Sus scrofa: one gene and its partner. Each later gene encodes a partner of the first gene's protein in a complex. Links are inferred from orthologs where the notes say so. Each region holds a gene or a part of one and is shown in the gene's direction. Other genes may lie near its edges.

Region 1 (3,006 bases):
CGACCCCGGCGCCCCGGATGGGGAAGGAGGCGGGCGGCCGCCCTCGCCCGGCCGCGCACCCCTAGGAACTCGCGGGCAGGTGGGTTCCGAGTGGGAGTCAGTATTTCCGGGCCTCCTCCGCCATCCCCCGCAGGGCCGAGGCTGGGTGAGGGGTGGCGGCGGGCGGGGTACACCCTCGGGGACACCCTCCCCTTCCCCACCCCCTCCCCAGCCCTGTCCCCGACCCAGCGGGCGGGCGTTGCCCTTTTCAGCGCCTGGGACCCTCCAGCCCCCTGCGGCGGCCGTGAGATGCCGGGGCTGGGGTCCCTGCTGCGGTGAGGGAGCCTCCCAGGGCGTCTGGTTTGTGAAGCAAAACCTATCATGGTCTCCATGGAAGACGTAAGGTCGGGCCATAAGAATTTTCTTCGCAGACCTGCTGGATGATCTTGGTATTTCTGACTCTTAGTTTTGCAGTAGTGGAAAGGAGATCATTATCTCCGATCCTTCCTAGAGTTTCGCGTTAAATAAGTAGAATGATAACTCTTTTTAAGGCTGCTAAACTCGGTCAAGGGATTAAGAATCTCCAGTCCTTGGCTTTAGTTAAATAAACCTTAGAGCTTGTACCTTTATTATTATGAGGTTTTTGTTTTTAGACCGGTAACTTTTTTCAGTAATAGATGCCTCTGAGAACCCAGTAAAAGCTTTGGATCCTAGCCTTAGAAATCTGCATAAATTACAACTACAAATATGCATTGACTGGGAGGGTTGTTGAAGGGTCTGAAGCCCATCCATAGACCTCAGGGATATGTGAACCCCTGAGTTAAGAACTAGTTTAGAGGGAGACATGTGAAGCCTTTGGGAAAGAAGTTTCCTTTGAATCTGGCTCCACTAATTACCACTGTTAACTTGGGCTAAAGTTACCTAAGCACTTTGAATTGCTGCTTTATTAGTTGGGTTAATCTCCAGGATTGTGGAGATTAAATGAAAGAAGCTACGTAAGGCTCTTAGTACATAGTATGCACTCTTGACAAATGGTAGCTGCTAAGGGATTATAATGTAAAATCTGAAATGAAATTTTAATGTCCTCAGTTACATGATGGCCACCATATATATTTTGTTCAGACTTCTAATAAGCTTATGATAACCCAATAAGTTGGTTTGATTTTAACTCAGTCCTACCCTTGACCTTTCACAACATTCATAGATTCACAGTCTCTCTTTTTCTAGGAACTTGGCTATATTGTCCTGCCTCAGAGAACAAACTCATCTACTAAAGGTCTAGCCTGGGTTCTGCCTTTGAAAGCAAGGGAAGGTTGGTACCATATCAACCACATTCAACATGAAATTTCCAGAGAGGTCTTATTTCAAAACTTTATAAAGAACAAGAACCACATGGACTTCTACAACGGAGATTGAACTAGCCTGAGTTTGAGCAAAAGGATAATGTGTTCACAGCCTGTAACTAACACCAAAGAGGCCAAGTGGCAGAAGGTCTTGTATGAGCGACAGCCCTTTCCTGATAACTATGTGGACCGAAGGTTCCTGGAAGAGCTCCGGAAAAACATCTATGCCCGGAAATACCAGTATTGGGCTGTAGTATTTGAGTCCAGTGTGGTGATCCAGCAGCTATGCAGTGTCTGTGTTTTTGTGGTTATCTGGTGGTATATGGATGAGGGTCTTCTGGCACCCCACTGGCTTTTCGGGACTGGCCTGGCCTCTTCATTGATTGGCTATGTTTTGTTTGATCTCATTGATGGAGGTGAAGGACGGAAGAAGAGTGGGCGGACCCGGTGGGCTGACTTGAAGAGTGCCCTAGTTTTCATTACTTTCACATACGGCTTTTCACCGGTGCTGAAGACCCTGACAGAGTCTGTCAGCACTGACACCATCTATGCCATGTCAGTCTTCATGCTATTGGGCCACCTCATCTTCTTTGACTATGGTGCCAATGCTGCCATTGTATCCAGCACACTGTCCTTGAACATGGCCATCTTTGCTTCTGTCTGCCTTGCCTCACGCCTGCCCCGGTCCCTACATGCCTTCATCATGGTGACATTTGCCATCCAGATTTTTGCCCTGTGGCCCATGTTACAGAAAAAACTGAAGGCATGTACTCCCTGCAGTTATGTGGGAGTCACACTGCTTTTTGCATTTTCAGCCTTGGGAGGCCTCCTGTCCATTAGTGTTGTGGGAGCCATACTCTTTGCCCTTCTGCTGGTTTCCATCTCATGTCTCTGTCCTTTCTACCTCATTCGCTTGCAGCTGTTTAAAGAGAACATTCATGGGCCTTGGGATGAGGCTGAAATCAAAGAAGACTTGTCCAGGTTCCTCAGCTGAGTTTGGTGACTTCCATTCTGTTACTAAGACAAACTGATAGACTAGCCCTCCAACTAGTATAAGATTCGAAGGCAGAATTCCATTCTGGAAGCAGCATGCTGATGTGGGTGGGAGATCAGAAATCAAAAGAAAAAGTTAACCAAAGGCTTGGGTGGTGAAGGTGCTTATCCTTTCTGTTATTTTGTGGCGGGAAAAGCTTTGTGGGGCCCTCTTCAATTATTGCCTCTCATTCAATGTAACAAATGAAGTGATGTGGTTTCTATCTATTAAAAAAATTAACAACACATCCATCAAGTTGTCTCACAATTTTTCTGTAAGCAGAAGACAGACAAAAGGGACACAAAGAATATGTGTGTGGATTTCCTGTCGTGGCTCAGTGGAAACGAATCTGACTAATATCCATGAGGACGCAGATTCGACCCCTGGCCTTGCTCAGTGGGTTAAGAATCTGGCGTTGCCATGAGCTGTGGTATAGGTCACAGATGAGGCTCGGATCTGGCATTGCTGTGGCTGTGGTGTAGGCCAGCGGCTACAGCTCCAATTGGATTCCTAGCCTAGAAACCTCCATATGCCATGAGTGCGGCACTAAAAGAGAGAGAGAAAAAAAATATGTGTGCATGTAAAGTCACTTCTGTCTGCCTTTTTCTGTGTACTAAATGCAGGCTCTGTTATTTATCTCCAGCTCAAATC
Region 2 (4,534 bases), on another chromosome or scaffold:
CCTGACCTCGCTCAATGGGTTAAGATCTGGCTTTCCTGTGGCTCTGGTGTACGCTGGCAGCTGCAGCTCGTATTTGAGCTCTATCTAGCTTGGGAACTTTCATGTGCTGCAGGTGCGGCCCTAAAAGGACAAAAAAAGGGGGTGGATTTTGATGACTAACCAAGAATCTTCTAGTATACTGGGCTGCAAAGAATAGAGAAAATAAAAATGACAACATATGCCATTAACTGAGCATTCATTTGCCACAGGCATTTTTCTAAATACTCTTTGCATTCATTAGCACATTTTAAGCCCCAGGATGGAATTATATGAGGTAGGAACAATAATTAATCTAATTACACAGATAAGAAAGCTGGGGAGGGAGTTCCCGTCGTGGTGCAGTGGTTAACGAATCCGACTAGGAACCATGAGGTTGCGGGTTTGGTCCCTGCCCTTGCTCAGTGGGTCAAGGTTCCGGCGTTGCCGTGAGCTGTGGTGTAGGTTGCAGACGCGGCTCGGATCCCGCGTGGCTGTGGCTCTGGCGTAGGCCGGCGGCTACAGCTCCGATTCGACCTCTAGCCCGGGAACCTCCATATGCCGCGGGAGCGGCCCAAGAAATGGCAAAAAGACAAAAAAAAAAAAAAAAAAAAAAAAAAGAAAAAGAAAAGAAAGCTGGGGAGTTAGGAGATTTGCGGGAGCCCTACAACTAGTAAACGATGCACCTGGGACCAAGGTGTCAGGCCCGGACCCCCGGCACTTACCTCCTACACTATAAGAAAGAGATCAAATCCGCATCATTTTCTGGGAGAGTCAGAAGCAAATGCGGGGCGAGAAAAAAACCACTGTGTGGATCACCCACTTAATTAAAGGACACAGTTACTTAGACTCCTTGCGGTTTCCAAGCTCATTTACAGAAGCAAATGAGTGGTGCTATTATTATGCCATTGAGCCCAGGGTAAGAAACTGGGCATCTTAAGTTTAAGAGGACTAAGCCATTCTTTTCCCGTTCTTATATTTTTTTTAATGAAAGGAGAAAAAAAAAAAGCCAAACAAGGTTATAGGAAGTGTGGTACTGCAAAGACTGACAGATACACATAAAACAAGTAATGCTTTTTAACATACCCAGTGTGACAGTGTGTTGGAAACCTCCTTTTGGTGATAACCACGGAGGTCCAAGTCTATCACTGTGTGACTCTGAGGTCCGGCCACTGGCTTCCTGGAGGCCCTGCGACAGGCCCTGGTGAAAACTCAGGACGCCTCCACTTGAGCGTGGGTTTTGTCTGCAACCTGCAAACGGGCAGGAAGAGCCGCAGAAAGCCCAGGCTGCAGGCGGGGCTCTCCATACCGAGCGGTGCCGCGGGAAAAGCAGTCGGGTCCCGAGCGCCCTCGGAACCAAAGAGCGGGCCTCCAGCCGTCGGGGGCAGCGTTTCCCGAGCACCGGGGGGCGGGGCCTGGCCGCCTGGGCGGGACTCCCCGGGATCGGCTGGAGCGGCCGGAGCGGCCCAGGGGGTGCGGAGGTCCGCGCGCCGGCGGCCAGACCATGCTGAGCGGAGCGCGCGGTCGGCTCGCCTTAGCGCTGCGAGGGACACGCGCGCCGCCGTCCGCGGTCGCCAGGAGGTGCCTGCACGCTTCGGGCTCGCGGCCGTCCGCGGACGAGAACAAGAAGGAGGGGAAACCGCCACGCGCCTTCGACCCGGCGCTGCTGGAGTTCTTGGTGTGCCCGCTGTCCAAGAAGCCGCTCAGGTAAGATTCGTCCGCTGCGGCTTTTCCCTGGTGGCCCCCTGTCGCCGGGGAGACGTTCAGGTCACCCGGGTGTTCTTCGCTGCCATGTTTTGGACCCGGGCCCGCCAGCTTCCCGGGTACTCGCTCCGCCGCGGGAAGGGCGGGAGGAGGCCCCAGCCGAGCCCCAGGCCTCCCGGACCAAACCGGCCACTCGCAGGCCTGGATCCTGGCGGGCAGCTTCTCCGCCGGCAGCGTTTTAGAATCTCGGGGGAATCCTTCTTAAAACGCAGATCTCTAGGCAACGCCCCACCCGGGCTCAATCCGAAGGCCTTGGGGCCGAGCCAGAGCAACTGCGTATTTTCTTGAAAGGATCCCAAGTGATCTTCCTGTACAGCCAGGGTTATGAACTCGGGATTCGGAAGACTAATCCATGGCATTCAGATTTTTAAGGCAAGGCGATGAAAAATGTGATAGCTTCCAGATTGTTGCGAAAACGCCGGGTAGGATCTTAAGCGCATCAGCTACGTGTGCGGCCCTTTGGTTTTTAGTTCTCGACCAGCCGGTTCTGTAAAGGCCTTCTTAACCTTTCACCTAGACTCTTTAGGATAAACATCTCTGCAGTTGCAGGCTGCTAAACCTGAACGTGGACAATACTAGCAAACACCGCAGTGTCATCAGTGGCTGCCTTTGGGTGGTAGATTGCTGCTTCCGTGGTTTCCTTCTCATGGATCAGTGAGGCAGGTGTTCTGATAAGCGAAGAAGCTGAATTTTCCTCTCGTGTCTGTTCCAGTAGTAAATTAGCTGGGATCGTTTGAGGGTTTAAAAGAGTCATGAAGGAATATTTGGATGAAAAGGAGAGATCTTTTCTTTTTTTTTTTCCACTAAGGCATAGCTTAAGAATAACGTGAAAAAGAAAATGAGAGAAACAGACTAAAATGGGAACAATTAGAGATTCCTTTTCTAAGAGAAATGGTTGAATTGGCTACTGCTGCTTTTAGAATGAAAAACAGTCTAATTCTGCTTTTCTGGCTCTAACTGTGTGAAGAATTGGATAAATGTTACTGTTTATTGAACCTCAGACTCTTCCGGGATTCATTTTGGTTTTCTTCTGCCCCTCAGATATGAACCATCGACAAATGAATTGATTAATGAAGAGCTGGGAATAGCCTATCCGATTATTGACGGGATTCCTAATATGATACCACAGGCAGCTAGGATGACACATCAAAATAAGAAGCAAGAAGAAATGAAGCAGCACTAGGTCATACGTAAACACAACACAAGGAAATTTTCTAAACACCATCCACCTTCGAAGAAGCCAGCGTGGCGGGTGGTGGGTGGGAGAGAAGAATGTTTCTGTCTCTTCCCACGCTGACTGTCCTTGTCCCCCTGGTCTCTCTGGGAGGACTGCTGTACTCCGCCTCCGTGGAAGAGAGCTTCCCCCAGGGCTGCACCAGCACAGCCAGCCTGTGCTTCTACAGTCTGCTCCTGCCCATCACCATCCCCGTTTACGTGTTCTTCCACCTCTGGACTTGGATGGGTATTAAACTCTTCCGGCATAATTAACGCAGCCGGAGCCACGATGGTATTTAAACTCATGATATGCTTGAGTGAGTGTGTCCGAAAGCTCCGCCACATGGAAATACTGGAAACCCAGACTTTGCAGGAAAGAGGCTTTGCTTATTAGCCTTTGTCAGAGGTTTAGGACTATGTGACGTTTAAGCTGCAAGAGGCTTCTTTCTTGTATTTTGGTTCTTCCCCTGCTTTTTGAAGGTTCTGATTTATACCTGGTCTCTCGGAAGAAACATTTCAACAAAGTGGCTTGTTGGAAATTAGCACCCCCACAGCCATCATCTGATGGCTTGTTCTTATCCCATTCATAATTAAAAATTACTAATTCGAAATTGTAGGTTTGTTTTTAGGTTCAAAGCCTTTGGTAAAGCCACATGTGAAGGATGACTGAGATAATTCCAAGGAGCTATGGGGAGTAATTGTAGAGAAATGCATTTGGACTAGTGTGATATAAAACTATAATAAAATGTAAATTTCATGTACTTGCCAAAATTCTGAGTTGGTAAAATTGCCTTCATTTCTTTGGCATCAGATGGCTTACATTATTAATAAGATATTGACATTTTCCATAAAACAATTTGCAGTTTTGTGTTTGGTTTTTTTTTTTTTTTCCTTTTGGTCACAAGAATATAATTCAAAGACAAGGAAATTATATGTTTAGAGAGGCACCCAAAATAGAACAGAATTTCCCAGGAAAGTATGTGCTGTGAGGAGAGGTGGAATTGAAAGACTGGCAAATAGCTGATTGTGTCCTGTTGAGTTTAGTTAGGGCGATTATTGAGCCACATTTCAGTTTATTTTTCTGCCATAAGAGACCTATTTATTTAGCAATACTAAGGGCATGAGCATTTGACACATTAATAGTTATTGATTTTCCAGAATTTTCAATAAGACTGATTAGTACAATAACTGTTTCAGAAGTATAACAAATGTTTCAGTATTTACCCTCATGAAGCCTAAGAACTCAATGTAACCTTAACTGATTCTTAATAGAATTTTAAAGTAGTGTAAAAGAAGCTTTAGACAGTGATTCTTCCCCTTAAAAAGAAAATTTAAAACATGAGGTTAGGCATTCCCGTCGTCGTTGTTGTGGCTCAGTGGTTAATGAATCCAACTAGAAACTGGGGGGTTGTGGGTTTGATCTCTGGCCTCTCTCGGTGGGTTAAGGATCTGGTGTTGCGATGAGCTGTGGCGTAGGTCGCAGATGCAGAGCAGATCTGGCATTGCTCTGACTCTGGCTCTGGCTGGTGGCTACAGCTCC

Evidence for each region.
Region 2: PIGC (region 1) and PIGY share a complex: the UniProt entries of both Homo sapiens proteins name them as parts of the glycosylphosphatidylinositol-N-acetylglucosaminyltransferase (GPI-GnT) complex. The link is inferred for Sus scrofa from reciprocal best matches to the Homo sapiens genes PIGC and PIGY.

What each region holds. Positions count from the first base shown.
Region 1 is NC_010451.4:114,824,395-114,827,400, reverse strand, and holds PIGC (phosphatidylinositol N-acetylglucosaminyltransferase subunit C), read left to right. Parts: upstream 1-1,422; coding exon 1,423-2,316; downstream 2,317-3,006. UniProt on the Homo sapiens protein: Part of the glycosylphosphatidylinositol-N-acetylglucosaminyltransferase (GPI-GnT) complex that catalyzes the transfer of N-acetylglucosamine from UDP-N-acetylglucosamine to phosphatidylinositol and participates in the first step of GPI biosynthesis.
Region 2 is NC_010450.4:130,526,124-130,530,657, forward strand, and holds PIGY (phosphatidylinositol N-acetylglucosaminyltransferase subunit Y), read left to right. Parts: upstream 1-1,447; 5' UTR 1,448-1,519; coding exon of another isoform or gene 1,520-1,722; intron 1,723-2,820; coding exon of another isoform or gene 2,821-2,962; 5' UTR 2,963-3,051; coding exon 3,052-3,267; 3' UTR 3,268-3,860; downstream 3,861-4,534. UniProt on the Homo sapiens protein: Part of the glycosylphosphatidylinositol-N-acetylglucosaminyltransferase (GPI-GnT) complex that catalyzes the transfer of N-acetylglucosamine from UDP-N-acetylglucosamine to phosphatidylinositol and participates in the first step of GPI biosynthesis.